2 linked regions of the Lonchura striata genome follow. Each later gene encodes a partner of the first gene's protein in a complex. Links are inferred from orthologs where the notes say so. Each region holds a gene or a part of one and is shown in the gene's direction. Other genes may lie near its edges.

What was found.
Region 2: the proteins of KCNQ1 (region 1) and KCNE3 are in contact, whole or in part, in a cryo-EM structure (PDB 6V01), measured with the Homo sapiens proteins. The link is inferred for Lonchura striata from reciprocal best matches to the Homo sapiens genes KCNQ1 and KCNE3. Residues at the interface, in NP_000209.2 of Homo sapiens: Arg116, Pro117, Thr118, Gly119, Trp120, Cys122, Phe123, His126, Phe127, Phe130, Leu134, Leu137, Ile138, Val141, Leu142, Ile145, Gln147, Tyr148, Arg181, Met238, Val241, Asp242, Gln244, Thr247, Lys362, Asn365, Ile368; in NP_005463.1 of Homo sapiens: Asp54, Asp55, Asn56, Ser57, Tyr58, Ile61, Met65, Phe68, Ala69, Val72, Gly73, Leu75, Ile76, Leu77, Tyr79, Thr80, Arg81, Ser82, Arg83, Val85, Lys87, Asp90.

What each region holds. Positions count from the first base shown.
Region 1 is NC_134608.1:47,137,157-47,152,353, forward strand, and holds the start of KCNQ1 (potassium voltage-gated channel subfamily KQT member 1), read left to right. Parts: upstream 1-8,041; coding exon 8,042-8,439; intron 8,440-15,197. UniProt on the Homo sapiens protein: Pore-forming subunit of the voltage-gated potassium (Kv) channel involved in the regulation of cardiomyocyte excitability and important in normal development and functions of myocardium, inner ear, stomach and colon.
Region 2 is NC_134604.1:19,176,038-19,190,952, reverse strand, and holds KCNE3 (potassium voltage-gated channel subfamily E member 3), read left to right. Parts: upstream 1-8,824; 5' UTR 8,825-9,004; intron 9,005-9,980; 5' UTR 9,981-9,992; coding exon 9,993-10,298; 3' UTR 10,299-10,813; downstream 10,814-14,915. Other genes in the region: LIPT2 (octanoyl-[acyl-carrier-protein]:protein N-octanoyltransferase LIPT2, mitochondrial), read left to right, coding at 5,943-6,420, 7,355-7,587. UniProt on the Homo sapiens protein: Ancillary protein that functions as a regulatory subunit of the voltage-gated potassium (Kv) channel complex composed of pore-forming and potassium-conducting alpha subunits and of regulatory beta subunits.

The sequences.
Region 1 (15,197 bases):
TAAACGTTAGGAAAATCTTTGCCTATTACGAGAAATAGCTATCAAAGAAAATGAATCAAAACATCTGTGGCCTTTTAAGCCAGACCAGATAAACTTGACACTTTAGCCACTAGAGGGACCTCCAGGAATAGAATATATAAAAACAGACTCCACAAAAATATTTGAAGCATTAGGTGTCTTTAAAGAAAAACAAAAAAACTCTGCAGACTGAAGCGTTTGCTTATAATGAGTTCTGAAATAATAGCAAACATTAATTAACTAATGATATTTTAAATTTGGTCAAGAAAAAACAACTTTTCTGCTGGTAAGATATGACTGGTGGGTTGTTTCCTCTTCACTGGCTTAGTGAGGTTAGCACATCTGCTTTGAAAAGGACTGTAATTTACCAGTAAGATTATGAATTATTCTTTTGGGCAGAACAAAGCAAATGCAGCTATTCTCTTTCCAGAACTTCTGAGAAGAATGTGATTTGGACGTGGTGCAGAGTCTGAAATTAGTAACCTCATTTTCCCACTGAGTGGTACTTCAGCAGAGCCCTCAAGTGATGTCAAACTTTAACAGCAGTTTAACAGCCCAATTAACAAATGTTAATGCCTTGCCATGCATGCAAATGGTCTCTAAAAAGTAGTTGTGCTGCAGCCTGGGTCACTGGATTTGTAATTAACCATAAATCAGGGAGATGATGAGGGTGCTCTTAATGTTCCCTTTTTCACTTCTGCAAAAATACAGAGGGAGCTGTGGTTGTTCTTCACGCACAAAGTTTTGGGGCTCCGCAAGCTCTGCAAGCTTCAGCTTTAACATTTGCAGTGTAAAACACAAAATCCTGCTTAGCACCTGGGCTTTTGGGACACTGGAGATGAGGACACCGAGATAAGAATTGCTATTAACCCAATTAGAAAAAGGTCAGGCATGTCTCTAGAATTTGGCATTAAATCGCAATTATGGGATAGGTTAAAAGAATTTTTGCCAGACTTTAAATTATGTTGCATTGTTTAGCTTTGCCTATTAGAATGGTCCTAGTGAAATGAAAACTCTTATTTTGTGAGATGAAAGCAACCTGAAATTCCAGTTTGGCAGAGCTGATTGTTGCACAGGTCTCCTGTGGTCTATCCACTGAGTTTTATAGTTTCCAATTTGTTTGCCTTGAGAGGTTACTCATGTAAGAAAAGGTGTAGTGGGAGGGGAGGAGACATTGCTAGTACTTGTTCTATTACTCTGCTGTGGAGTTGGGGTTTTTTTAAGCATTAGAAAGCTTTTTGACGGATTATTGTTTGAAAAACCTTTGATTCTCCCACAGAGTTAGCCTTAAATGCCTTGTGTTGCACATAACCTCCCACTGAAGTTTTCCAGTGAACCACCTGCAATTAAAGACATTCAGCTGCAGGTTTAACTGTCAGACAGATGATGCTTGACATCAAAAGTGGGTTGCCAAGTGGCTCCTGCTGAAGCAGAATGATTATCTGTCCCATGCCATTCCTTACACGTGAGGTAGGTTATTATATATTACGGATTAACGTGGTCACAGGCAGGAAGTGTTCCTGGACCAGGAAGAGATTTGGTGATAGCTAGTGATTTCTTTCTCAGCTGCTGAGAGTGAAACCCTTCCTGAAACACCAGGACATCCTTTCATTAAGAGAAGTCCTCTCCATAAGCAACCATTGGACAAAAATTTGGGGAGTGTTTCAGAATTTCAGTTAATTTATTTGGAGCTTGCTCAGTGGTGCTGATTTTAGTCTAACAAAGAGAAGGTTTGTGACTAACATGAGGAGGAGAATTTGCTTTTGATGCAAGAAAGTGATGTAACAATCTCTTCATTTGGAGAATGCTGTTAGTCACTCTGCCCTCAGACGTGCAGGTCTGTGTAAGAATGTGCACTCAAAAACCTGTGTGGCATTGTGTGAGCAAGCAAACATCTGCTGAGTCTCATGTGCTCCTGAAATTGAAATACACCTCCTCTGCCACAATAATAAAAATGAACCTCACAAGATGTCGTCAGCCTCTTTAGCTTTCTCTTTTGGAGTAATACCTAAAAGAATCCTTTTCAGTTACAAAAATTGCTGGAAAATTAACTACATTAAAGAACTCAGGAGAAAGGACTCTACAGGCAACTGCTGAAACAGACTAGAGAGGTTACCCATGCATGGATCTACAAGTGTGTCTGGAGCAAGATCTCCTAATGGTGTCCCCTCTTAGTTGTTTAAGGCTTTCACAAGGTCTAGATTTTTATTTTTCCTACTGCCACTTCGTTGAAGATTGCAAGTAGGTTGGTGACAGGAAGAAAATATTGAGAAGGATGTTTGCAAGTTGTGATGCACTAACACAGTTCAGTTACAATTCTAGCACCACTTCCTTATTTTCTTCTTAATGCCCATGAGACTTTCAAGGGCTCTGCCCTGAAGTCCTCTTCCTAAACAAGTAAAAACTTAGTGAATTCTTCAGACTCACACGTGGAAGATTTTGGTCAGCCAGAGAGCAAATAGAAAAAGCTAACATTGTAGAAAAAAATTTGATCTTTATTGACAGAAACCAAAATTCCAGTTGGCTGGTTCTAGCCTTTCATATAAATGAATGTTCCTTAACAAGAGAAATTAAGAGTCTATCAAGGTTTTTGCATCTCTCTTCTCACAGCTCTCAAGTGGATGGACAACAGGATGGGGATTGGGGGAGCAAAATCCCTCCCACTGTAACAAAGATCAGGTTCATGACTACCTGAGTAACCTGAGTGTACAGAAGTCCATGGGACCCATGAGATGCATCCCAGGGTCCTGAGGGAATTGGCTGACACAGTTGCCAAGCCCCTTTCTGTGATACCCAAATAGTCCTGGCTGTCAGGTGAAGTGTCATGTAGCTGGAAAAAGGGAAATATTGCACCCATCTTTAAAAAGAGTAGAAAGGAGGACACTGGGAGGACCTGTTTTCCTCACCTTTGTGCTTGGGAAGATCCTGGAACAGATCCTCATAAAAGCTCTGCTAAGGCACATGGGGAACAGGGAGGTGATTTGAGGTAGCCAGCACAGCTTCCCCCAGGGCTAATCCTGCCTGACCAACCTAATGGACTTCTCTGGTGGAATGCCTACATCAGTGGACAAGGCAAGGGATACAGGGATATCATTTGACATGAAGGAATGTCATTTAGCTGGATTTCTGTACAGTCTTTGGCATGGTCCTCCCAACATCCTTCTCTCTAAATTGGAGACTGATTGAATGGCTAAACTGTGAGGTGAATAAGGAATTGTCTGGATAGCTGTATCCAGAGGGTAGAGATCAAAGGCTCAGAGTTCCCATTTTGTTTGAAAACAAAACAGAAAGTGTTTGTGAGGCATAAGCCTAAATAAATATTGAGTCTTTCTTTGCTTTAGGACTTCAAACCTGAGCATAGGTAGACAGTAATATTCTTTCCCAGAACAGCACCAATATGATTTAAAATCCTACGAAACAATGTAAACACATCATAAAACCATAGCCATAACCATGCACTCAGATAGCATTCAAACAGATAATGCTAATCAGGGATGGCAGCAGGGCTGCATGGCCTCCATATGTCAGATATCTGGTGCATGCCACTCACTATCTCCTGCAGGGCTGCTCCTCTCTGCTGCCCAGATTCCTGAGCAGACTGCATCCACTGTTAAAAATAACCCAACAGTAAAGAAGGGAGGGAATTAAAGGACACTTTCAACTTTCTGAGTAGAATACTATCTGCTTTTTTCTGTCTGCTCCATCTGTCTTGAAAGTGACTGACAGGAAAGCAGTCTGCATAAACACCTGTTGGAAGTGTGTCTTTTTGTCAGTGATTAGTCTACTAAGGAAGTGATTAATTAATGTGGTCTCTGACTTATGAAATGTTGATAGTCAGTGTTTTGGGACATACTGCAGTTTTGAATACACTCTCTGTATCTGGAGTTTCTGCTGGTGTGCTAAGTTGTTTGACTAGCAATGCCTGCCAACAGGGAAAACCTGCTGGATTTACACATGGGAAGCATGGATGTATTCAAGAGCCTTTAGCAAAGATTTTGCTTAAATTTAAAGCCTGAAGTTAATTTGCATAAAGGCATACAAGTTGTATATTAATAGATTTAGATTAATTAAAAATAAAGGTATATGAGATTATCAAGGTGTCCAATGGAAAATGTCTACACGTACTTGGAAAATTGTTCTTAATTGAAATTTGATGAATGAATGAAAATATACATATATCTTTCCATCTCCCTAGTGAATTGGCTAAGCTGTAGTCTTCCCATGATTTAGAAAGTGAAGCAAACCCTTGTATCTCTTTCCCCTGCTTTTGTTTTGAATCTTAAGGCTGAGGTTTATTTATCTATCATGTTATTGTTGTGTTTTCAAACTGTTCTTTTTGTTTGAGGTATAAGTACTTAGTTATTTTATAGCTTTTAATGGGAATTTTTTAAAGTAATGACAAGTCTGTGAGCAGAATTTTTTAATTAATAGAGAGTATTTCAAAAGTTTTTGTCCTACCTCACTATATGAAAACATATAAACAATCTAGGACTTTATTCTTAGTTCAAATGACATTTACCTTCACCATTGACTGTGTTTTTATAATGATCTACTCACTCAATCCAAATGTGGATTCTCCAGGAAATGGAACACAACCAAATATTTACTCCACTCCAAGAAAAAGAGTTCAAAAATTGAGACAACACAACTCTCTCTTTTCTCTCCTTGAAAACTGTTATTTAACGTCTCCTACTGTAGCTGGGCAGAAATGGAAGTAGCATTAAAAAAATCCCCCAAACGTAATTCAAACAAAAACCATCCCACAAAGTAATCTAACAGCAAACAAGAAGATTCCCATGCTAGAGGAGAAGTGGTGAAACCTGTAATTGTAACGTAAGTGTTAAAGGCTTTCAGAAGACAAAGAATATTCAGACTGTTTGTTTGAGTCTTAACTTCCAAAGGGAAGAAATCAGGCAAAAGATCAAGGTGTCTCTAACTGGCTGCAGCAATTCCTGCCTGCAAACATTTGTCAGTGATTTAGCAGTGTGATCTTGCATGGTATTCTGGCGAGCACAGAGTCAAAATACAGCATGCCATGAGCATATCTGTCACTGCAGGCATAATACTGATCCATAACTTGGTACAGGATAACAGAGGCCCAGGATGCTACAGACATTTTTGATCAAAGAAGTCTTTAACTAATACTAGTCTTGATCTAATTAAATTGCTAGGATTGGGAGCTTTGCCATCACCTTCACTGTATTATCATCGTACTAGAGTGACTTATCTCAAGTTTATAATCATGGTCCTCTTAAAGACGTAAGGATTTAAAACAGTTCTTGCTAACTGTGAATTAAAATGTACTGGGTGTTACTCATTTCGCTGCAGTTCTGTAAATACTCAAAGTAGATTATTATTATTCTAAGAAACAATTCAGTATAGTAGTTCCACCTTAATATTTAAAACCCATGTCCTCTTTATTCAATGTATCTTCCTACCTTCTTCACTATCGAAGCCTAGATACCAAGCTCCATAAATATATTTGAACACTCATCTCCCTCCTCTTCCCATTTTTAACTCTTTCATATATACACCACACTCTCTTTTTTTTCTCTTCTTCCACTTACATAATTACATTGTTTTGTAAAATAAACATGATTAAAATCAAGATGTGGCAACTTAAGAAGGGGAAAAAAAGGGAATTTCCATTACCATGTTAAAATATGCATCTTGAAAATATATCAAAATAATATACAATTTTGGTAAATTAATATGCATTAAAGGTAATTATACCCTGGATTCTCATCCCTAAGTAGTCATTTATTTGAAACTTTTATTTAAGTATGCTCTTGCTTTCACCTGTGCCAGACATGTTTTACCATTCAGTATCTTGAACAAGCTGGCAATCATCTAACAATATGATTTTTGCTACATAAAATAAATGTTATCATTATCAGTAACACACTTAAAATGTAGATTTTGATTAACTCCTTGACTTTGGGAAAAGGCCTTTAGATATTACTTAAATACTAATTTCATATACTTTAAAATTGCTTTATTTGTGATGATTCTTTGAAAGATTTAGCCAACATTGGATTTCCAACCTAAAACCTTATGAAACTATTTCTGTCCTGAAAAACAACTCAATATATAAGGCTGTGGAATACATTTGAGACCTTTTTGTTTTGCAATAAAAAGTTTATTGAAAAAACCTTTGGTTCTTTGGAACAGTTTCTCACCGACCACTGAAGATCAAATTTATATCTTCCCAATTTTCTTCCTTGTTTAGCCATTTAAGTATATAATACCCCCTAACTTTTCTTTTGCAAGGAAATTGCATAGGTATTACAGAAATTCCATTTTCCTAGGTTCAAACAGAGTGAAGTTTCTATTCTGTTTTGTTAATCAATGGATAAATAATATTATGCCACATTATTTTTTAAAGATTTTGAAAAGTTTTATGAAGAATAACATCATTTACATATGAACATAGAGCCTCCTGTTTGGCTAACTCTCTGTTATATTTTGCAGTTGGCTCCAGAATAAGGCTCTGTATAACAATGTTATGTTAGTCTATAAAACAAAGTGGAACACTTACATAAAGAAACACATTTGTTAGCTTTAATATCAAGACTTTATCAGGCTGACCCTCCAACAGTGAGCGTTCAAGGGTAGTGATGACATTCTTTCTTCCATTAGCCATTTTTCTTGCAGGCTTGTTTCAAAAAAGAACAGTTCCTCAAAATAGAAAAACCAGACTCTATTTTGACCTGATGCAGGAAATTTTTCCTTTGAAATGCTGTTTTTATTAAGCTGTTTTTTTCTTCATGCTCTGGTGGAGGGGGGAAAAGCCTGCTTAGGATGTTGTTGGTTTAGAAACAAGTTTTGCAAAGTCTCATTTTAACACTTCAGGTTTTGTATTCCTAAGATGGAGCCAGATCCCTCATGGGTGTAAATAAATATAAGAGCTCACTGGTTTTTCTTGTTTACACTGGTGGATCTTGCCTGGTTCCCCTACAATTCTTGCAGCCTGACATTTGAATGGAACTGCAATTAGCAGGGTTGTTTTCGTTTAACTTTATTTAGCACCTTATCTCCCTGTAACATTCTTGTCCGGGTACCAGTATCAACCATGAACTCAACATAGCTCTTACTAGTGCTGTTCTATTTTGAGCTGGAAGAAAAAACCCACCAGTCCAGATCAAGGAGCACCTTTCCCTTCACTCTGGGAATAGAAATTTTTAACCGATTGGTGCAAAAAGCCACGACAAATTTATCCACAGTTATGGCAGTCCTAACTAACTCCATCACACGGGAAAGTTATCCAGGCCGTCAAAACTATCTGTTCTCAATAGCCAAACCTATGCAAATTTCCACAAAAGCCAAAATGCTACTGGTAGAGGAGGCAGTTCTGCAGGACTGTGTTTGCTGTGTTCTACCGTTTCCACAGTTCTTCAGCTAATCACTCCCTTTGGTTACAATATCATGAAGGACTGCACGACCCATTGTTTGAGCTCATAGTTTTTGTCACGCATTTTAAAAAGAGCCTCCTGGAAGATTCCTGCTCTGGCAGAGCCCTGCTGTTCCCAGGTGCTGAAATTCTGCAAAAAGAAGTGGAGCGTCCAGAAGGCTTTGGAGGTACTAAATCTGAAGTAAAGGGTTGTACCCCAAGATCTCAAGCCACACAATGCCACAGTTCTGGGAAGCAGCGGAATGGCCAAGGCGGCAGGAAAGTCTGCTGGGCTTCTGGGTTGCTGGAAGGCTGCTCCCTGCTCTCTGCCCTGGCAGCTGCTCACACAGGTGAGAGGCCAGCTCCACGCAGCCACAGCGGTGACAAGGCACAGGTGCTACAGCATTGAGGACAGCGACACGGAGATGCTCGCCGGTGCCGGGCACGGGGAGCGGGTGCCGCGGGCAGCGCCTCCCGCCGGGCCGCACCGGGACTGCTGCCGGGCCCGCCCCCGCTTGCCCGCACCTTTCCCGGCCGGAGCCGCCCCGCGGGGGCCGGGCCAGCGGTGTCGCGGCGGGACGGGGCGCCCGGCGCTGCCCGCAGCTCCCGGGGCACCGCCGCGCCGCCCCAGCCATGTCCTCCAGCTCCCCGCCGGGCGAGCCCAAGAGCCGCAGCCTGGGCCGGCTGTCGCTGCCCAGGAGAGGCAGCATGACGCCGGGCAAGAAGGCGGCGGCGCTGGAGCTGGCCGAGAGCGCCCCGAACGCCCACTACGCCCCGCTGGCGGCCGCGCAGGGCGGGCAGGCGCCCGCGGGATGCGGCCCCGCGGCGGAGCGGGAGCGGGCGCCGCGCCTGCGGAGCGAGGTGGTGGTGGTGAGCGCCGACTGCCCGCGGCCCCCCGTCAGCCTGGACCCCCGCGTCTCCATCTACAGCCTCCGCAAGCCCCTGCTGAGCCGCAGCAGCGTCCAGGGCAGGGTCTACAACTTCTTGGAGCGGCCCACGGGATGGAAGTGCTTCGTGTACCACTTCACCGTGTGAGTACCGCGCCGGGCACCTGCTCCGCGCTCCCGTTACCGCCGCTGGAGCGCTGCCCCGGCCGTGCCTCAGCCGCACCCTGCCGAGCCCCCTCCCCATGCCCCGCACGCCGCTCCTCGGGAACGGAGCCTTCCAGACCAGCCCGGTGCTCCGGGCTTGAACATCGTGCGGATGTGGTCCTCTGGGCTATGGGTGGCTTGCTTTTTTTTTTTTTTTTTTTCCCTGCAGGTGTGAAGTAAAACAGAAATCACCCTCCAGGGGAAAGTTTGCCTTTTTAGTTAAGAGAAATGCTGTATCTCAGTTCATGAGCCGTTAGGTGTATCTATCAGATAGTGGAGGAGAGGGTTTCAGGCAATTTTCTTCAGAAGGCTACCCAGGGAGTTGGAATAAATTGTTCACACCTGGTTTCAATCAGTGACACCTGTGTGATGCCGATGCTCACTGCATAGCAGCAGTTTCTAATTGAACAGGTGCAACTGAACAGGTGCTCTCAATTATCAGCGCTGCAGTCTTGTCAGAGGAGGATGAGAAACAGGTGATGCTCCTTTTGCTTGCCTCTTTTGTTACCCCGGCTCTACCTCCTTGTGCCGTCCATTACGGTAGGAAGGAGGTGGTGTTTGGAGGGTGCTGTTGAGCCGCAGGTAGGTTGAAAGTTGCTTTCTCTGTTGTACTGTCTGTAGAGTGCAGTGTCAAACCCCAGCCTGCAAGTGGTAGGTCTGTGGTGCAGAAGCATCCCAACAGGTGTCTCTGGGAGGAATCAGCTTTTCCATCGAGGTGTTGCAGAAGGCTCGTGTGACCCTTGGGCAGTTGGTGTGTGTTAAATGTAGGTGAGAAGGTCAGGTAGGAACATGGTGTGTGTTTATTGTATTCATGCACAAATATATGTGTGTGTGTTTATATCCACTACATGTGTACATGCTTATTCCAGCAGTTAGAGTTAAATATATTTTGTGGTCAAAATCCTAAGACAAAAAATACCAGAGTCAGTTTTTATGACTTTGCTATTATATTCTGATTTTAAGTCCTATTTCTAAGTGACTGTTTTCTAAAGTCAGTTTAGGACTTTGTTCTTCTGTTCCACGCTTGAGGATTCTGGAGTGTTTAGGTCAACAGGTTAAGTGGTACCAACTTTATTGTAGTGGAGGGGAAACGGCTGTCATCTGAGTGTATATAATTGGGAGATGACGGGGTACAACTGCTGAGATAATTGTGGGCTCCATTCTCTTTAGCCTTATGATAATGCCATAAGATGAGAAAATGAGTAATGACCATAATTATGAAGTGCCTAATAGTTGTCATTGAACAATGTAAAATACTTGGGAATTGGAGCCTCCCTCCCCCCCTCCCCCCTTTTTTGTTCCCTTAAAAAGCAGGTTTAGGTAGCTATATTTTATGGTTTCTGACCTTTCAGGTGTCTCAAATTTTGTTTAGATGGTGCAGCAAACTGTTTTCAGTATCTTCTCTGAATCTTAACAGCAAGTCTAGGAAAACTCTGAAAAGCAAAAACCAAGCTTATAGTCCTTTGACTACTTAAGCTTCTAGCCTGAATTATAATTTATTTTTTTTTTTTGCAAGTATTTGCAGTGTGGATTAATCCTGTTTGCGCAAGAATTAAGATTCTGTAATATGTGTAAGTCATTATGTATCTTCCCCCCAACACACACCCAGGTGTAAGCATTAGCCCCAACTTTTCCCTTCTTTCCAGAGCTCTTCTGATGCAATGATGAATGACAGTGGCAGTAAATATTCTCAAGCCTCTTACCAAGCATTGCTTGAATTCCTTAGGGTGTTGAAGAGACAGAAGAGGGTATTGACACCCTTGTACGTTTCTCACAAGGCAACTTGCAAGTACCATTTAGGCAGCCTAACTCCGATTCCTACCAGCAGAGGGAATTGAGGCTTTACTGTTTTCAGCCCAGCTTTTTTTTTTTTTTTTTTTTTTTTTTGTTAAGCTTTTTGTGCCCATTAAATCATGGTTTAAGTTACTGGTTTTTGGTCCATACTTCTCCAGCTCTTTCTGAGCTCCCAAAGCAACTTTCTACTGTGCCAAGGAATGCTCTGGAGTACAATCCCTGCCAGCCAGGTGCAGAGTATTGGTAGATGAACAGTTGCCACACAGCTGAAGTGTGTCACTAAAATTAACCGACGAGGCAGATTTGTCTGATTCAGAGAAGCTGCTGTGCACCAGCATCTGCTCGGGAGGAGGCACGGGACCTGCTTTGGGTAGACAGGTGGGTACAAGGGATGAGGTGCAGAGCTGTAAAGCACGTGGAGTCATGAGAGACACACAGAGGCGAGCATGTGCTCCTTCCCACTGGAGGAAGTACTTGATTGTTCTGTTGTCAGCATACAAACAATCATTCATAGAATGCTAAGCCTGGTTTTACCTTGGGGTGTGCAAAGACCCTGGTGTTAGTCTTTCCTGCCCAAACTAGTTTAAGAAACTGAATTAATTTTGCCTGTTGTCTTTTTACTCCCTCTGTGGTCCTGCCTCTACTTTATTCTGGGGGCTTTCAGCTGCCTGGGAGGTCTTGGTCACTGTCCTAAATGTTTAGAGGAGAAAGAGAGGAAACGGGAGTGGTGTTAAATCAGGACATAAAGACCTAAGCTTAGTAGAGAGCCTTGGCCAAGATCTAACCTAGTGATGGGAGCAATAACCACTGAAGGCTTAATTTTTTGTTGTCTGCGTGGTGTGGAGTGTGTAGCTGTGTTCTTAATTATAAGCTGTAATTATTACAGTCAGAAACAACTCCTGGAATAGACCATGTAACTTGCTCTGGACCTGTATCTCTGGCTGGTTGTTAAAACACTATTTATCAAGTGATAAGAGCTACATCTACTGATTGCCTGTCACACCCTTTTCCTGCTCAGGAATTTTAGTCAGTGGTATGTAGAATACTAGTAACAAAGAACTGATACTCAGGATTGATTTTCCTTGATTTTATATTACATTGTTTAGAAAAGGGAAGTTGAACACCAAGCTTTAATCCACAGATTCTAGGTTGTTATGTTTGTTTCATATTGTTTTCATTGCTGCATGTCTGGTGAGCAGCAAAGGGCCCTTATGTGCCCTTGACTTAAAGGATGGAAAATCTGGCTGTCTTGCATAGGTCAGGCCATGACCTGTTTTCTTCTGAATTATTTCTTTCATAATGTGTCAGAAATATCTGTTTTTCACTATGCAAAATGTATCTTCTCTCTAGATTGATATTTTCAATCTCTGGGGTAATTTGACATGCCAGTCTGTGATTAAATCAATTTAATTTGAGACAGGTCTTTTCTAAGAATTTTTCTTATTTGCTTAGACCAAAGTGAGCAGAATAGGGAATGAATTATTATGCCTCATTTATACTCGATTTTTGAAGGCTGGGGACATAGTCTCTGTGGGAGGAAGGAATGGCTAATCAGCCATTAATTCACCATTCAGACCTGCCTGAAGGTACTAGTGGAGATGACAGAACCTCTTAGTTGAGCTACTTGACTTGGTTTGATTTTGTAATAAGTTTCATGTAAATAGATGACATATACAGTATACAAACACCTGATTTTACCAGGGCAAGTAAATTGTGCTTGTTGGCTGAGGATCTACTTGCATGGCTTCTGCAAACACAGTTGGTGATTGCTTGGAGACTTGGGCTTTGCAAGCAAGAGCTTTCCTTTTGGGGTGGCTGTATTGGTGGCAATGTCCTGCCAGGGCCACCAAATCTGCCTTGGCTGTCAGAGCGAGGGAATGACTGAGTGCCACGTTCTCAGTGACCTTCCAGGCTAGGGCATCTTATCACACTTATCATAGCAGTGCACCTTGAGAGAGCAGCTTTGAGAGGTGAAATGTTCTGCAACCTGAATGAATCAAATTTTCAGCCTCTATGACCAGAGGTGGAAAGAGAAACTCTGCCCTCATAGTGGCCTGCTGAAACTCTTGGGTACTGCCCCATAGTTGGAAATGACTGTACTGAACAAGTGAAGCTGTTAGATGCTAAAAAGAATTATTTTAGATTTAGGTGCTCAGGGAAGAGGTTCTTCTCACCCTCTTAATTTTAAAATAAACGTCTTAAAATATGCCTAGAGAAACTGAAGTTACGAACTGATTTCTCTTGTTCTTGGTGTGGCAAATAATGACTTCTGGCAGCGTTGACTCCCTGTGTTCTTTGAAGTGTTGGCTGTAACCAGAAGGAACAATTTAGAAACTGATGGACCGTTGGTTTGTTCTATTGTGGCAGCTCTCCTTTGTTGCCATGCAAGGTAATCAGCTTCTATCTTATCTTTGCATGCCTGTACCTGGTTCAATTTACATTGCCTTTGTATAAGTTTGGTTTAATCAGCAATGATTGTCATTGAGTTTGTTGAATCTCAGGTTGTTTACATAAGCTTGGACTGGCCAGTGGTTGGGGTTTGGAAAACTGGTCTCTGGAAACAGGCAGACTCTTAGCAGCCTGGCTGCATGTGTGTGCACACAGAGCTAGGAAGTGAGGGTAGATAGAATATTCCAGTTATCTGAATCAGGACTCGCAGTAATCAATTATTAAAGGCAATGCAGTGTTTACACTGTGCTCTTTACATACATTACATCTTGAAGAAAAAAGCCTAACTCTAATTTAAAATCCCATTCTTGCCCTGTTTCTAGATGTACTGCAAACATACTTCCAAACCTACTGGTTTATACTTGTTGTGTAAAATGTTGAGGAGGAAAAAGGGTCCATAAACAATTAGTGTGTGCACATGCTCACACATGACTTTTTTTATCCCAACTTAAGAATGGTGCAAACTGAAATGCTGTGGACATGAACATTTGTATGTTTAGAGATTTTTATGGCTTGAAATCAGACTTACAGATTATTACTTCTGTTAAAAAAATAAAAAAAAGGGGTGTAAGTCCTCCAAAGTAAGCATGGCTTTTCCAAGTGGAAAGAAAGAAATGTGGCTTGATCAGAGTCATATCCCTTTTGCTGCTGCCAATAGCAGGAAAACCCAGGTTTAGCTTTTTTTGTCTCATCAAGACTGAGGTAGTTTAGTTGAGGCCAGTTTGCAGCAGAGCAGACACCTTTGCAACCAAACACTATGTATCTGTTACCATGCTTGGTAAAGTTTTATCTGAGAGGAAAATGTATTGGAAAGCTGATTTTAAGTATTCCAAGAGAGGAGGGAAGACCATTTGTTTGCCCCACATAAGAAAGTGTGCTCACATTTAGGAGTTGCTGCTGCAGAGGCACCCCTGTTTGCTGATCAGCCTGATGTTGAAGCTTGGGCTCTTGGCAGATTTTTGGAGGCAGGTGAGACTGAGAAGTGGCTTAAAGGTTTTGTTGTTCCCTCCTTAATCTCTGCATGCTGCAGTGCAGCCCCTTAGCTGCAATATTGCAAGAACTTTGGGACTCTGTAATTGAAATAGTATTTTTTGGGTTGGCCAGTACAGAGCTTCCTCCCCTTGCCCTGTTTCCCAATTTGTAACCTGTCAGAAGTTTAATTTTTGCTGTGGGCTGTCTGGCTGTCTTGTGGCTGAGACCAGTCCAAGTTTGTGCCGTGGAAAGCTGAAGTGTCAGTCTAGTTACAGATCAGAAGGGGTCCCCATTTCTCTCTCCCAGTGGGACAGCAGAAGTTGTTAGGTTAAGAAATACAGGTACAAATAACTATGTAACTGACTAAAAAAAAAAAAAAAAAAAATCCATGCTTACTTAGTAATTGACAGGCATCAGACAGAAAAGCAGTATGAAAAACCAAATCCTCTCAATGCCAACACTAGTAGATAATGCCTGGAAGCCACTTTGATGAAATCACCAGCTTTGCATTATTTGTTGCATTCTGTGATTGCTGCATGAAAATTATTGTGGAAATGTATTTTGATTGTTGTAGGGGAAGGAATGTAGGGAAAATCTAGGTGTCTTCTAGTTAAATTACCTTTTGAAGACACCTCTAGCAATAATTGGGAAAATAGTTTCTGTTGTGGCATGCACAGTGGGATACTGTTGGCTACTTGAAAAAAAAATTCACTGGGTCAAAGAAGTTTTGTGGGGACTTTTTTTTTTTGTAATGATGGATGTTTAGGTTTCCTAAAAACAAATGGAAGCAGAAGACTGTAAACTGGCAAAAACAAATGCTCAGTGAAGACAGGTTGTGTGCAGTGGAGAAATAAAGAACTGTGAAATGCACACATAGAAGATATTAATTTTTTCAGTTTGGGCAGGCTTTCCTGGAATAGGCCTTCTCTCTTTTCCCATCATCCTTCCAGTATGACATTTCAAGTCCTTCTCTCATGTTTGCTTTCCTCCAGGAAAAGAATTATCCTACCTTTAAAAGTTGCACATGAATGATCTTAAAAAAGCCAGTAAGTGCAGTATTCACATTTCTGTGTCTCTGTCAAATGTTCGGTTGGGCAATCCTGGCACACTTCCTTGCCCTGGCTCCTCGAGTGCCAGGGAAAAAACATGCAGGCCTGTGTAGATAGGCCTCTTTCAAAACTTCTATTGCAGCTGAATCAAGGCTAGAGTTGAGATTCAGTTGCAGTGAACTAATTAGGCTAGGCTCCAAATGCCTGAGTGCTGGATGTGTTACAAACAACGGTGCCAACATATGCTGCAGGGAGCTATGCACAGGCATAGTGCTTAGCTGACTTCAAACTTGGCACTACCTCATTAATTTGGTGTGTTAATAGATTGTTTAATGTGCATTAGTGGCTGAGCACAAAAGCTGTGAACACTTGCTCATTCAGTTCCAGATGGAAAATAGTGTCTTGTTGGGGGCAAGGTGTTTTCTGCCTGCCAAC
Region 2 (14,915 bases), on another chromosome or scaffold:
CCTGCCCGCAGCACTGAGGGACACGCCGTGGGACAGCGCCCTGGGCTTGGGCCGCCGGGAATTGTCGCTGGAGGTGGCGCAGGAGCCCCAGAACCACACGGGAGGAACCCCAGAACCACACGGGAAGAACCCCAAAGCCCTCCAGGATCTTCGAGTGGAATCCTTCCCCCAGCGCTGCCAGGGCCACCACTAACCCATGTCCTCAAGTGCCACATCCAGGGATGGGGATTCACCTGGACAGCCCTTTCCGTGAAGGAATTTCCCCTAATATCCAACCCAAACCTCCTCTGGCACAGCTTGAGGCCGTTTCCCCTTGTCCTGTCCCTTGTTCCTTAGGAGCAGAGGTGCTCCCACTCCCCTTCATCCTCCCTGCTCTGCCTGCACCAGCACCTCTGAAAGGAGGTGCCAGAAGAAGCTGAGCACGCTGAAAAATACCCAATTATCAGCAAATATCTGGGGCTTGCTCCAGACAGGCACAGAGCCCCAGGGAAGAACCCCTGGCTGGGGAGTGCAGTGGTGATTCCACTCCAGGGTAGCCATGCTGGACAGGAGTGTCCCTGGCCCTGGTCAAAGTCACTCATTTCATGAGAACTGTAAGCAGATGCAGATCCTGACTTGAGCACAACAGCTTTTTACCTGGCAATGGTGAGGGAAGGAAATCAGACATGTTTAATAAGTGTTAAAATAAACTCAGAGTATCCCTGTGCTGGAGTGTTTCTCAAGGCTCACAATGGCATTCATTACTTAGCTGGCATCAGGTTTGTTTTGCTGATAACAAAACAATCCACATCCTCTTCCTCCTGTGTGCCAGGCACCTTTTCTCACACTCCTGTTGTCTCTTTTTCTTAATTTCGCTGTAGTTATTCTTGTGCTGTGACATTCCTGGCTTGACGTTTCTGCCTGGTTTACGGAAGGAGTGTGCAGCTCTAAGCATGTTACTCATCTTTTCATTGTTTTTAAGTCTCTTTTCGTCCTTTGTTTTTTCTACCTTAAGTTTCCTGCTTTGAGCTGATTTCATGACCTGGGCTTAGTGTCTGATGAGTGTAAAATAGCACTTTTCACTCTCAGGACACAATGTGTGCTGGCCCTGCAGGCTGGCTTAAGGGTATGAATGAGTGTGAGAGGTAAGAATTCTTCAGCTGAGGATTTCTTTCCTCTCTATTAAAATGATGTGGGATCTGCATCTGCACTCACTCAGACCTGCTTTCTACTCTGAGGGAGCTATGTGGGCACAGATTGAAATGAAAGGTTCGGACTGGACATAACAAGTTATTAGAATCACAGAAGGGGATTGGAATGGGCCCAAACGACCATCCTGTTCCACTCCCCAGCCATGGGCATGGACACCTTCCACTAGACCAGGCTGCTCCTGATCTCCGTGGTGAAATATTTTGAGATCTCTTAATGTAGGCTTGCTTCATTGTCTTTCTTCCTCAGTTGTGCCAGCTCTGAAGCTTCAGTGCCAGCTCCTCTGAGGTGTGAAAGGCAGAGTCAACAAGGCACAAAAAAGGCTCCAAAAGAGCCAAGTTTCTGAAGGACGCACCGACAAGCAGGGCTGGCTCCTCGGTGACGGAGCTGCAGAGGAGCCTCTGAGCAACCTCTGTCCTCACCTTGTCAGGCTGTGTGGAAGTGCCCTGGGATTTGTAATTAGGCACAGTTTGAGACTGGGCTCTACAGTGATTTATACCAAGAATTTTGAGTCCCTTGGAGCCCTCCAGGCCCTGCAAGGGCTCTGAGCTCTCCCTGGAGCCTTCTCCTCTCCAGGTGAGCACCCCCAGCTCTCCCAGCCTGGCTCCAGCCCTCAGAGCATCCCCATGGCCTCCTCTGGGCTCTCTCCAGCAGCTCCATGTTCTGCTGCTGTGTCCCCAGGGGTGGGGCAGCTCTGCAGGTGGGGTCTCACCTCGACATTTCTCTGGTGTTCCCTAAGAACTGCCATCCCTCCCCTGAGCCCTTCAGGAGCATCTTTGCCACAAGCAGTGCTGTGATGGGTGTGTGACCTATCAGTGGTGATTTTGGCTGGTTGGAGTGGTGCTGTCTTCGCAGATGGCAGGGTGACCCCTGGGAGGGGCTCTGGCCAGCTACTGGGCACCTTTCAACAGTGTTGATGAAGGACAAACAACACATCTGAGCTTCCCAAGTGGGAGTGCCAGCTCCTGGGAAGCTCAGAGGAGCGTAAGGCCTGCCGTGTTTGCTCCAAGATGAGCCAAAAAATGACGACTGCCCAGAGAAGTGCAATCAGCACAGAAACACCGGCTCTGACCCGTCTGCCCAGGCCATCAAGGAGCTTCCTTAAGTACTTCCTTACTGCACCCCTGGGGCACAGCCTGTGGTGTGTTTCCCTGCTTTCCTTCCCCTTTGGCACAGCCTTGGGAACGTGCTGCTTTGAGTCAATGAAGGGAACAGGCTGGGGGCAGAGCAGCCCTGCCTGTGGGACACAGACCCCCAGATCCTGCCCAAACAAACCGGGGATCTCAGCCCCAGCCCTTCCCCCCCAGCCTTCCCAGGGAAAGGTGTGTAATATATGATTTAGAATAGATTTGTGCTCAGGACTAAAAAATACAGTATCCTTTTAAATGGAACCACGTGATGGGAAAGAGCAATATACACAGGATGAATTCCTGTCTCAAAAGATGGTTATTCTGAAGGATTATTCTAGAAGATATGCCTTGAATGCTAAGATGAATATTCGTTGCCAGAACAAGATATTCGGGGGGATTACTGTCTAAGAGGATTTCAGCAATGAGAGTATTCTAGGAAAGCCTCTGTTTAGAAGCACCACAAAAAAAGAACATGCATGAATATGTGAAAAAGGACAAAAGGAAACAGGAGAACCACCCCAGAATCCTGTTAACTCTAGAAACAGTATAAAAAAGACCATGTGAAATCAGTACCCCGTGAACTGCCAGGGTATGGTGCTGCATTAGTCCGGACCCAGTTCACCCAGCACCGAATGCCTGGCTCGGCGCTGATTTGCTTCTGGCTTTCCCAATTTTACTTCTATTTGATTTAATAAATTCCTTTAATTATTAAATTGACTGATTCATTTATAACAGGTGCATTCCAGAATGAAATGTTTGTCCTTCCTAGTAAGGTGGCTGGTGCTTGTAGAGCCTGAGTAAGTCAAGATGTTGCCTTTTGCCTCTGCCTGTAGCTCTCCATGAGCTGTGACAGCCCCTCTTGCCAGGCACCTGTTTCACAGCCACCACCTCTGCCCTCCCCTCAGCTTCCTGCTATTAAGCCCCGACTTGCATTGGCCCTAAAGCTCAGAGGGAGGCTCTCCTGCCAGAAAAAAATCAGACTCTGTCCTTCAATGAATTGGTGAGGACTGCACAGGCTCTGCTTGTGTTTACGGCACCCAGAGGAGAAGGTACAACGGGACAGCAAATCATGGACACAACAAAACCCCCAGTGTGCTGTAGAAACGCCCCAGCCCTGGCAGAAGAATAAAAGGTGAGCCATCCGCAGCCCCTTCCATCCCGTTTCCGCCTGGCTGAAAAGCAGGATGTGGACAGTAAATTGGGCAGCAACGATGCACGCCAGTGGCGTGGTGCTGACGAGGGTCCCAGTCCTGTGACACATGGCTCCATGTCCTGCCAGCCAGACAGGAAGAGCCCTGGGCTTTGATCTCCAGGAGAGAACTGGGGGCTTAACCATAAAAACAAGAAAATAACTTGCTGCACACACACTGTTGGTGCAAAATATGAGTCTCTCCTGCCAAGGCAGAGACCTAGAGCTGCTCTCCAGGAGATGATCTCACTCCAAGTGGGATCTTCAGGCTGGGTGCTGTTCAGTTCCTGGTGAGGTTTATGGTGATTTTCTTCCCCCCATTTTTTCTCCTTCATTGAGAAAACAGCCTAACAAAGGGAAGCACCTGTCCTTACTTGCAATAACACAGAAGTCGACCTTGTCAGCCGACGTCTGAGTTACCTGTGGCACCTGTGGTGACAAAGGGCAAATGACTACCGAGGTGTGTTTGTGATAAAAGCAAGAGCTCAGTAACACAGTGACTGCTCCATAAAACCAGGACATACTTTCACACAACTAACCCGGTCGATAAGCTGCAAGGGCTGCAGGCTGGGAACAGTTTGCTCAGGCTTTAATGGTTGACTCATTAGTGGTTCAATTTGTCTATTTTTTACATTGGGAATAAGAAGCTGAGGTAGGAACACTTCCTCTTTCACTGTCCCAGGGTGAAGAACTGCAACTCTCACCAGCACCTCAGCAATACAAGAACTTTATTTACAGGGCACAACCTTGAGGTGCTAGCACAGAATCATACAAAGAGAAGTGGTTGGAAGGGAGTTTAAAGCTCATCCTGTTCCACCCCCTGCCATGGGCAGGGACACCCTCCAGTACATCAGGTTGCTCAAGGCCTTATCCAACCTGACCTGGAACACCTCCAAGGTTGGAGCATCCACAACTGTCCTAATTTTACCCCAGAATCCTGATTTTAGCCCACTTTGAGCAGGCCTGTGATTGCCCAGCAGCACAGGATGTCCTGTACACGTTCCCTGCCCTTGCCCCCTTCCTGTTCCCCACCCTAGTGCCCCATGTCCCACACCCTGTAGTGAAAGGGGCTGCCCTGTCTCTCCTCCCTGTTATGTGTAGTAGATATAATTCACACCATTTCTAGTATGGTATATGTGATATTGAATATTTGTTGGAGTATACACGTTTGTATTAGGAGTCCCCCCTACCCTCACAGGCGAAACCTGGTTTATGTTGAAACCTGATTTACAAGTAAAAGGATGTGGCTCATCAGGAGATGGGCCATATCTGAAGCAATATGGGACGTCCAGGTGACCTGAGACGATATAATGGAAATCCTCCATACAGGTACATGTGAATGCAGGGTTCCCATAATTTTCCTCAAGGGATTCACCAACTCCAGACATCAAATTGTTCTACCTCCTCACCAAGAAAAGAAATCTCATCAAACTATGGGACTCCTAATAGAAGAAAGGACTGATTGCCAAAATCTTGGCCTCAGGCAGAATTTTCCCTATAAAAAAGCATTTGTACCAGATTGGTGCTGTGTGGGTATAGAGGAAAACCTCTGCTGAGGCTGACTTCTTTGTTGCACACCCAGTGCTGACCCCGGGCTCGGCACTGTTCTTTCCTTGTGGCTGGCTAGATAGAATCTGATTGCAAAAGAAATATTTTATTTTTTCATTTTAATTTGGCTGGACAATTTTTCATTTATAACATCCCTGTGCCCCTCCTGCAGCCCCGGCCCTATCAGCCACCTGCAGGCCCGTGACCTCCTCCTCCCTATGCCTTATTCCCTGTCCCCCATCTCTCAGCCTTGTTCCTAGGCACTAGCCCCCATCCCCAACCTCCTAAACCCTGTCTCCAATCCCCCACCGCAGGCCATATTCCCGGCCCCCTCCTTAGGGCCATGTCCCATGTCCATAGGCCCTGCTCCCCTCCCTAACGCCCATCCTCTGTCCTGCTGTTTCCTCCGCCCTGTCCTCCATGTCCCCATTCACCATGTCTGTGCCCCGTCCCCCATCCTCCGCCCCTGCAGTCCTGTTCTCCACCCTGTCGCCGTGCCCTACCCACGTCCGCCATCCACGTCCCCCATCCACTTCTGTCCCCTCCCTGCCCCTGTCCCCAACACTGTCTCCCGGCGGCCAGGCTCCGGTCCCCATCCCGCATGGAGCCCGTCCACATGACTCTGTCCACATGACTCTGCTGTCCCTATCTTCGCCTCCCGTTCCATCCCCGCCTCTCGCTCCTACCCCGCCTCCTTCTTCCGTTCCCGTCCCCGTTGCTTTTCCGTGTCCCCGTATCCGTTGTCCGTCTCCGTGGCCCAGCCCGTGCCCCTGTCCCCGTCCCCGTCCCCTGGCTGGCGCCCCGGCGCGGCCCGGTTCGCTGTTGTGCGCTCGCCCCGCCCGTCGGCCCCGGCGGTGTCCCGGCCGTGTCCCCGCTGTGTCCCCGCCATGTCGCGGCGGGCGGTGCGGGTGCTGCGGCTGGGCGCGGTGCCGTACGCGGAGGCGCTGCGGGTGCAGGAGCGCTGCGTGGCGGCGGCGCGGGCGGCGCGGGGCCCGGCGGCGGGCCGGGGCGGCGCGGAGGCGCTGCCGGCGGAGAGCGTGGTGCTGAGCGAGCCGGCGCAGCCCGTGTATACCTGGGGGCTGCGGGGCGCGCCGGGCGCGGCGGCGGCCGCGGCGCTGCGGGCGCGGGGCGCGGCGCTGGTGGCGGCGCGGCGCGGCGGCCACATCACTTTCCACGGCCCGGGGCAGCTGCTCGCCTTCCCCGTGCTCGACCTGCGCCGCCGCCGCCTCCCGCTCCGTGCCTACGTGGCCGGGCTGGAGGCTCTGGTGCTGCGGCTCTGCCGCCGCCTCGGGCTGGGCGCAGTCCGCGCCCTCCCGCCGCCCTTCACCGGGGTCTGGATGGGCGACAGCAAGCTCTGCGCCATCGGTGAGCGGAGACGGCGCCGGGAGCGCGGGTGTGTCCGTGGAGCCGCACTGAAGAGCCGGCGGTGTTCCACGTGCGGAACGGAAGGCTCCAGGGAGAGCTCAGAGCCCTTTCCAGGGCCCTAAGGGGGCTCCAAGAGAGCTGGAGAGGGGCTGGGGACAAGGGGGAACGGCTTCCCACTGCCAGAGGGCAGGGTTAGATGGGATGTTGGGAAGCAATTCTTCCCTGTAAAGGTGCTAAGGCCCTGGCACAGATTGCCTAGAGCAGCTGTGGCTGCCCCTGGATCCCTGGAAGTGCCCAATGCCAAATTGGACATTAGTGCTTGGAGCATCCTGGGACGGTGGGAGGTGTGCCTGCCCATGGAACATCTTCCAGCCCAACCCATCCTGGCACTGCCTGGGCACCGGGGCAGAGCACTGCAGGAAACTGCCCTGGACCTGTAGGCACCTGAGAGGGTGGGTGTGCACAGGGGTGGGATTGGCCTCCAGGAGGAGGGGGCAGCAAAATTTGGAGCCCCTGCAGCCCACCCAGACCCCGACACTTTGCACGTGTCGCTCCCAGGGCTGGCTGGCTGCCTGCAGGCCAGTCCCCAGCCTTGCCCCCTTCCCTTGCACCCCTCCACATCCTGTACCCCTTCCTGGGACCCTGCAGCCTGGATTTTGGATCCTGCAGGTCTCCCCATATCCGAGCCCATTGGAAACTCCAGCGGTGGGAGGTGCTGGGGGATGCAGGGCTGGGGTGGAGGGTCTGGACATGCTGCGCTCCATCTGCCCCATGTTTGGGGAGCCTGTCTGTGCGTTTTCCCTGGCAGAACCGAGGAGCACAGCGTGGTAGGGGGAGGATGTTTATAGTGATCTGGACAGCGTGGTCACTCAGTCTGTCCCACCAGGGCATCCCTGGTGATGGGGCTGATGGGTGGGTGCTCTTGGCCATGCAGGTGTGCACTGCGGGAACCACATCACCTCGCATGGGCTGGCGCTGAACTGCTGCACCGACCTCTCCTGGTTTGAGCACATCGTCCCCTGCGGGCTGGAGGGCAAGGGCGTCACTTCGCTGAGCCACGAGCTGGGGCAGCATGTCGCCGTCGGCAACGTCATCGAGCCCTTCCTCGACTCCTTCCAGGAGGTGTTTGACTGCACTTTGGTCTCTTCAGAAGACCCCGGGGATTAGAATTGTTGTGATGCCTTGGCCGGGTGTTTTGGCAAAGCCATGGTGCAGCCAGTGGGCATCAGGGCAGTGCCGGGGTCTCTGTTGTGAGATGAGTTCTTGTGCCTTTGCCTGTAGACTGTGATTGGACTTTGGCACAGGGTTTCAGGCTGCTGCTCGATGATCCAAACCTCCCCTGGGGCTGTTCTCTCCAGCCCTGTGAGTCTCCATCTTTTGGCTGAAACTTCCATGGGTACCACTTTCTGGGGAAGTACTCAAACAGGTGCTTTTGTGGGGTTTTTTTCTGCTTTTTGCCTCACAACAATTAAAGATTTGTGTGAATGCTCATGAATTCACATGAATTCTCATGAATTCACATGAATTTGTGTGGCTTGAGCATCCTTCCCTTGCTGACGGGTAAGAAGAGGCAGATTTTATATATAAAGACAGTTGCTGTGAATTTTGGCTGCCAATCCTTTTCTCATTTATTTACCCCAAGACTTTATCAGTGACAGCCTTTTTCTCACCCTGAGCCCAGGGAAATCCTCACATGGCAAAATCCTGGTGCCAGGGAGGGTGGAAAATGGCTGTAAACACTGGTGGAAAGGCCACTGGAGTGCTGCGGATGCAGTGGAAAAGGGGGAGAAGGAGGGAAAAGGGTTGGAAGGAGAGAAGCCACAGCTGTCATGGATCCTGTGGGACCACACAACATTCCAGCTGAGCAGTGGAGACCTGCTCCCACGAGGTCTGTGGTGCTGGAGGAGGTGCTGCTGTCAGCACTTCTGAAATTGCTGTCCCAGCTGCGGCATCATAAGCTGATTTAATGGACGGGTTTATTGAGGGGGGAGAAGTCAGCCTGAGGCTGGAGTACCCACACCCTGCTCAGAGTAAGACCTGACTCCCACCCAGAGCCCCTCACTGCTGTTCTGGGCCTTCTCCCTGCCCCACAAGCTTTGGGGTTTCTCTGCTGCTGCACAGCACTGGCAGCTCCTTGTGAGCCCCCCTTAGTGCCCAGTGGGGCTGAAAAAGGGGGAAATCCCATTTCACAGAGCAGGCTGAGCTCCAGGAGGGAACGGGGAGCAGGAAGAACATGCCCAGGAAGGCTCTGTGCCAAGGGTGAGGGCTCGGGGACTGCGGTGCCGGACGAGGAGGGACAGGAAAGCGTGACCGTCAGCGTGTGCTGGGGAAGTGTGGAGGGAGCCCCGCTCTGCCGCCCCACAAAGTCCCGGTGTCTGGCTGGGGCGAGGGGCCCTGGCAGCACCCATGGGGCTGGGGGTGGGCCGGTGGCCATGACGGGGCTGGCTGGCTGTGGCAGGTGGCTCTGCCCGGGAAGGGGAGGAGGCTGGCAGCGTTCCCAGCCTGGCTGGCATCCCTCCCCACCAGCAGCGATGCTCAGTCCCGGCTCAGCCTGGCAGCAACGCGAGCAGAGAGGACACACGAGGTGAGTACGAACCCCTCTTCCCACACCCTGTCGCCCGCTCCTCTCCCTGTCCTTGCACCCTCCCTAAGGTGGGTCCCCCCAAGGCGTGCCCCATCTGTGGGTCCCCTCCTGGGATAAACCCAGATCTTGCCCCAAACCTCCCAAATTCAGCCTACTTCTCTTAAGTCAGGAATGTAGCAAGATCCGACGTCATCCCTGTGGGCTCGTGGCTGCTCAGCCCCTTCTTCCTCCTCTTCCTCCTCCTTGCAACTGGGGTCTCATCCTGGGAGGTGCCCCCCAAGTTGAGGGTGACCCATTTGGGATCAGCTGCCTCTGCACAAGTAGAGCTGCAGGTGCAGCAGGCAAGGGGTGCTGGGGAGCTGCTGGGGGCAGGCTGGATACCTGGGGGGACTACAGTGGGGACTGGCATGTCCCAAAGGATGGCACACGTGGGAGACTGTGTCCCATGTGCCTGTCCCGGGGCCCCAGGAAGTTGTGAAGGTGCACAAGGGAGCCCAGGGGGCTGGCAGAGGGGCACCATGCCAAAGGTCAGAGTGGGTCTGGTACCCAAAGGGAAGGGAAATCCCCGGGGAGGTTTAGAGCAGCAACCCCTCAAGATGGGTTCACATCGATCTGTGGGGGGCTGTGCCAGCTCTGCACCCTGCAGTGGGGCAGGGTATGTGCCCACCATCCCCACACATCCCTGGGGAAAGCAGACTTTGGACCCAGCCCTCCTGCTCCCTGGGGACAGCTGTGTCCTCACATTGTCCCCAGTGGTGGGGAGGAGAGAGGGCCAGGCAGCTGCCCCAGAGCCCTGGGAGATTTATCTCTTCCATGGAAGGACTGAAATTTAGGGAGAGGGCTGCTGGGAATGCAAAGGGTTTGGCCACCCTGCTTTGTGGCAGAGGAAGTGCTTCAAGGGGCAGTTTGGGGTCAGTGCTGGGAACACCTCTGCTGTGAGGGCAGCCCCGTCTGAGCCCCCTGTCCTTCCCCGCAGCCTGCAGAGGACATGGATGAGAACAACCGCACTTTGGAGTCTTGGCACCAAAGCCTGCAGGCAGTGCTGAACGCCCTGAACCAGACGCTGCATGGGACCATCCCCTGCTCTGGCGAGGCCCTGGCTGGCGCGGCAGGAGCCACACGTGGTGGCCACACCGGCCGCAACGCCAACGCCTACATGTACATCCTGTTCGTCATGACGCTCTTCGCCGCCACCGTGGGCAGCCTCATCCTGGGCTACACCCGCTCCCGCAAGGTGGACAAGCGCAGTGACCCCTACCACGTCTACATCAAGAACAGGGTCTCCATGATCTGAGCCTGGCCCATACCTTGTCCCCAGGGTGGCTTGGGGTCACCTTGCTGTGCACATCTGGCTCGCTGTGGGATGTGGCAGTGCTGCTGGCTCCAGAGCTGCTGGGAACCCCGTAGAGCTGCTGAGAATCCCCCGAAGCTGCTGAGAACCCCCAGAGCTGCTGGAACCCCCACCATGGAGGAGCTCAGTCCTGGTGTGAGCAGTGCCGGGATGTCCTGGAAGAATGTGACCTGTAAGCAGGTCCTGGTCCTGCAGACCCACCTCAGCTCCACCATGGGCGTGGGGCTGGCAGGGGCAGCTCCTTTCCCACTGTGGCCTGCGGGGGCTGGCAGGAGGCGTCAAGGAGAATATTTCCCTATTTCCCTACTCAGATCAGCTGGTGTTGACCTCCCTGGGCTCCTAGCAGCTGTGACAGTGGTTTTAGGGAGTTTTTCTGGTGCTGAAACCCTGTAATGTTTGAGCTGGGCTGTGTCCTGCTTTTCTGGCAGGGAATTAAAGGAGGTGGTGGGTTCAGGGAACTTGTGTTTGCTTCTCCTCCGAGCAAAGCTGGTGTCTGGGGCAATCCATGAGGCACGGCTCTACGCCAGAGTCCAGGGGATGCTGAAAGGGCTAAACCTGCTGACTGTGTGCTGCCAAGGTGGGTTCAAGGGTAGCCCTTGGGTGGCATCACAGCCTCCAGATGGGACAAATCCCCGGGATGGAGCAAGCCCCGCACTCCCAGCTGGCCATGTGTCCGTGCTGCTGTGCGGGCAGCACTGCTGGAGCTGTGGGCACGCTGTGAGCGTGGCCCGAGCCCGGCCAGAGGCGTGTGGCTCCAAGCATCTCCCAAGACCTCTTCAGGCTCCGGATGGTGATGCTGGACTCTTTCCTGCTTCCTTCCTGCTGTCAGCTGTAGCTTTGGCCTTTTGTACCGCAGGTCCCAAATGTGTTTTCCATGGGGTGAGGGTGCAGCAGGGGACGGGAAGGGATGTTCTTGGGTCCTGCTGGCCTCCTTGGCTTTGACTCTGCTGTTAAGCTGGTCGGGTTTGGACCTGGCCTGTGGAGTGGCCAGTGTCCAGGACAGTAAATGACCCTGTCCTTCAAAACAGGCTGTGGGGCAGCGCCAGTGTCTCGCACGTCTTAACCTGTTGGTAATGGCATAATGAATGTCTTTAATTGCAGCTAGATTAGCTGGCCCATAGGGGCCTTTCCGCCTGCATTCCAAGGTTAAACACAGTTGCAATCCTGAGCCCAAACACTGACGCCAAACCCTAATCCAAAAAATAATAGTGGATGTGAGTGTGTTTGGGGTAGGGCTGGAAACCTTGGCACTGGAGGCACCAGCACAGCAGCAGCCTAGCGACCGATTCCTGGTTTGCCGTGCCTTTGGCTTGGGAACAAAGCCTGGAGCAGGGGGGAATGGGAAGCCCATTTTGGGGTTGGTCCCACTGCATTTCCTGAGCCAGTCAAGGCTTTCTGGGGTGCAGGTGTCCTCCGGCACCTGGCCCAAGCGGGAAGTAGCTCCAGAGGCTTTGCTCTGTTTATCTAGCACCTGCAACCTTGGGAAAGGAAAACAAACCTTTATCTGCAAATAAACCAGGGGAATGGGGCCAGGCAGGGACAGAGACATGCTGTGCTGATCCTTTTCCTCCTCCTCCCCTGGGTTTGTCCTCCTCCAACACCAGCCCCTCCTGTGGGATGAGCCGTGCAACAGCCAGGGCCGGGATGTGGGAGGACCCGGCGATGGGATGGGGGCTGGATGATGAGCATGGTCCCCCAAAATCCCCCCTGGGATGTGGAATTCTTGCTTTTCCCACTTTTGGGAGAGAGGGATGAATCCAGTGACTCTGAAATCTCTTCTGATGCTGTGACCCAAGGGGAAAAACCCTGTTGCCCTGTTGAAGGATAGCATGTCATAAAAATTTGGGGGGGGTGGGGGGGGGGAGGGGAGGGAAATGCTGTTTATCCCTAATCTGGAAGATTCTGAGGGTGAAAATCTGTCCTGCAAGACACAGCTTCTGCAGCAATGGTTACCCACCCGACCTGCGACCCACTGGCAGCTCCAATGTCCGCCCAGCCCTGCCGGTAAATTCGGAGCAGAGCCTGCGGCGGAGCAGGGCAGGGCAGGGCAGGGCAGGGCAGGGCAGGGGGGACGCCCCAGGTGCTCCCACCCTGGAATGGCCGGCTGGATGCCACCAGGCTGGGTTACAAGATGCCAGTGCCACCTTGTGGCAGCTGCCTCAGGGTCCTGGTGTCACATGCCCAGGACACCCCTGGGGCAAGAGCAAGGACTTGTATTGGCGGGACCTCTGGCTGTCCTTGTCCCTATGGCTCCCTCAGCTCCAGCCTGGCCGGTGTCCCCATGGGATCCACGGTCTGGGGTAGCCTGACAAACCTCCTCAGCAGTGGATAGTGCTGGGCTGCTCCGAGGGCTATGGAAGCAGGGATACATGAAAGAAGGATGGATTTGGGAGTCCCCTGGAATGGGTTTGCTTCTGGAGCCAGGGGAAGGATTTTGCAACTCTTTAGATGCTCATGCGAGAGCTCAGAGATTCTTCCTTGGAGCCAATGGGTTCTGGCCTCACCTCCCTGGGCTAACGCTCCCTGGGTAACACTCACAGAGCTTTTGTTAGCAGCAAGGAGATGCTCTCAGCATGCAGAGAGAAGAGCTGGGAGTGTGCCGGTCCTGGCTGAATCCCTAAATCCAACTCAGCAAACTGTAGCTGGCTACATTTGGATTTTAAGCAATGCAGCTGGGAAAAAACATAAGGCTCCTGGGAGGCCAGTTTATTGAAGACATTTTTTGCTGGCACACAGCAACGGATCATGGGTGAGACGGCATCTGGTGCTTGGAAAAGGATATGAAAACATGTAGGAAGTTTGGGCTGACCTTGGCTTAGCGGATCAACGGCTAGATTGTTGGGGCAGCGGGAATCACAGGAACCCGTTCCCAGGGCTGCTTTGATGCTGGGCGTTCTGATAATGAAGGCACAAGGTGAAATGAGAGCAGCCCAGGGTGAGAGCAGTGAATGCTGGGCAGGTTGCCTCGGGTTGTGCTGGTTTGGAATGGGTGGCACAGCCTGGCTGAGCAGTGGGAAGCTGTGTTCCCGGGGAGCTGCTCCTCCAGGAGAGCTGGCAGAGCTCCGTGGGAGTGCTGTGTTCAGATGGAGCAGCCAGGGAAGAGCTGCTCTCCCCTCAGCAGTGCTGAGCCAGGCTCACATCACCAGGGCTGCTGTGCAGCATGAGGGACAGAGGGGTCACGATGGGGAAGGTTGATTTTGGGAATCCAGGAATGGTGAAGGGACCTGCTTCTGCCCTTCCTTTTTGGGACCAGAGCAGAGGTTTTTCTAGTGGCTCTGAGCTGCACGTTACAAACTGCTTTTAGAGCATACTTAGAGTGTTATGTTTCTGAGGAAGCTAAGGAGTGTGCTGCCAGTGCCAGAGGGTGTGGGATTAGGCCTTCCCAAAGCTGACATCATGAAGCATCGAGCCAGGGGCAGTTGCAGAATTTCAAAAGCCATTTCCTCATGCCAGTACTCCCTGTTGTGTCCTTCCCACCTGCCAGCCTGGGCTTTGTCTCCATGCTCTGTCTGCAGAGCACCTGCCCTCCTTCAGGACAAAGCCCTTCTGCTGCCACCCCAGATCTGCTTAAAACTGGTCATTCCAACCCCAAAAGGCACCTGTGCCCCTGCCCTGTGGTGGCAGGGATGTCCTCGCTGCCTGTCTGCAGCACTCCACTCTCTTCCCTTCAATGTGCAGTTCTGGGAGGGAAGGGAAAGCGGGGAGGTGCTGTGTCATTATCAGGGAGCCTGAGAGGCCTGGGAGAACAAGCAGGGTGTTCAGGAGATATAAATAATAAAATTATAAACCGAAAATCGTGCCCAGTGCTGAGAGGCTCACCCATCACCAGCTGCAGGAGCACACGGGGGTCATCCTGCATGGCCCCAGCTCTCTGCAGAAACCGGGAGTGGAAAAGCAGCTGGAATGGCATGGGAGCTCTGGGCTGCTTGGCCACGATGTGGAATAAACAGAATAAACGGTGCAAATAACCATGGAAACACTGCTCCCACTGGCCTCTGGTAGCTGGGAGATCATGGGGCTGCTCCCGTTTGTTGTGCACAAGGGTTTGGGCTGTGGAACCAGATCCCTGAGGATGCTAATGGGATGGGACGGATGCTTCTGGTCCTTCTGGTGGGCTGATCCCCCAGCGTGGGCAGCTGGGGAGGGGATTCTGCCCCTCTGTCCTGTGCCCAGGTGAGATCCCACCTGCAAAGCTGCTCCAGCCCTGGGACACAGCAGGAGGAGCTGGAGCTGCTGGAGAGAGCCCAGAAAAGGCACCAGGATGATCAGAGGGATGGAGCTTCTCTGCTGTGTGGAAAGGCTGAGATTGTTTAGCCCAGACTGGAGAAGCTCCAGGGTGACCCAATTGTGGCCTTCCATCACCTGAAAGGAACCTACACAAAAGACAGAGAGACTTTTTACAAGGGTTCAGGACAAGTCTGTCTCAAACTGACAGAGAATTGATCTAGATGAGGGATGAGGAGGAAATTCTTTGCCCAGAGAAGCTGCCCCATCCCTGGCAATACTCAAGAGTAGGCTGCATGGGGCTTGGAGCAGCCTGGGCAAGTGGGAGGTGTCTCT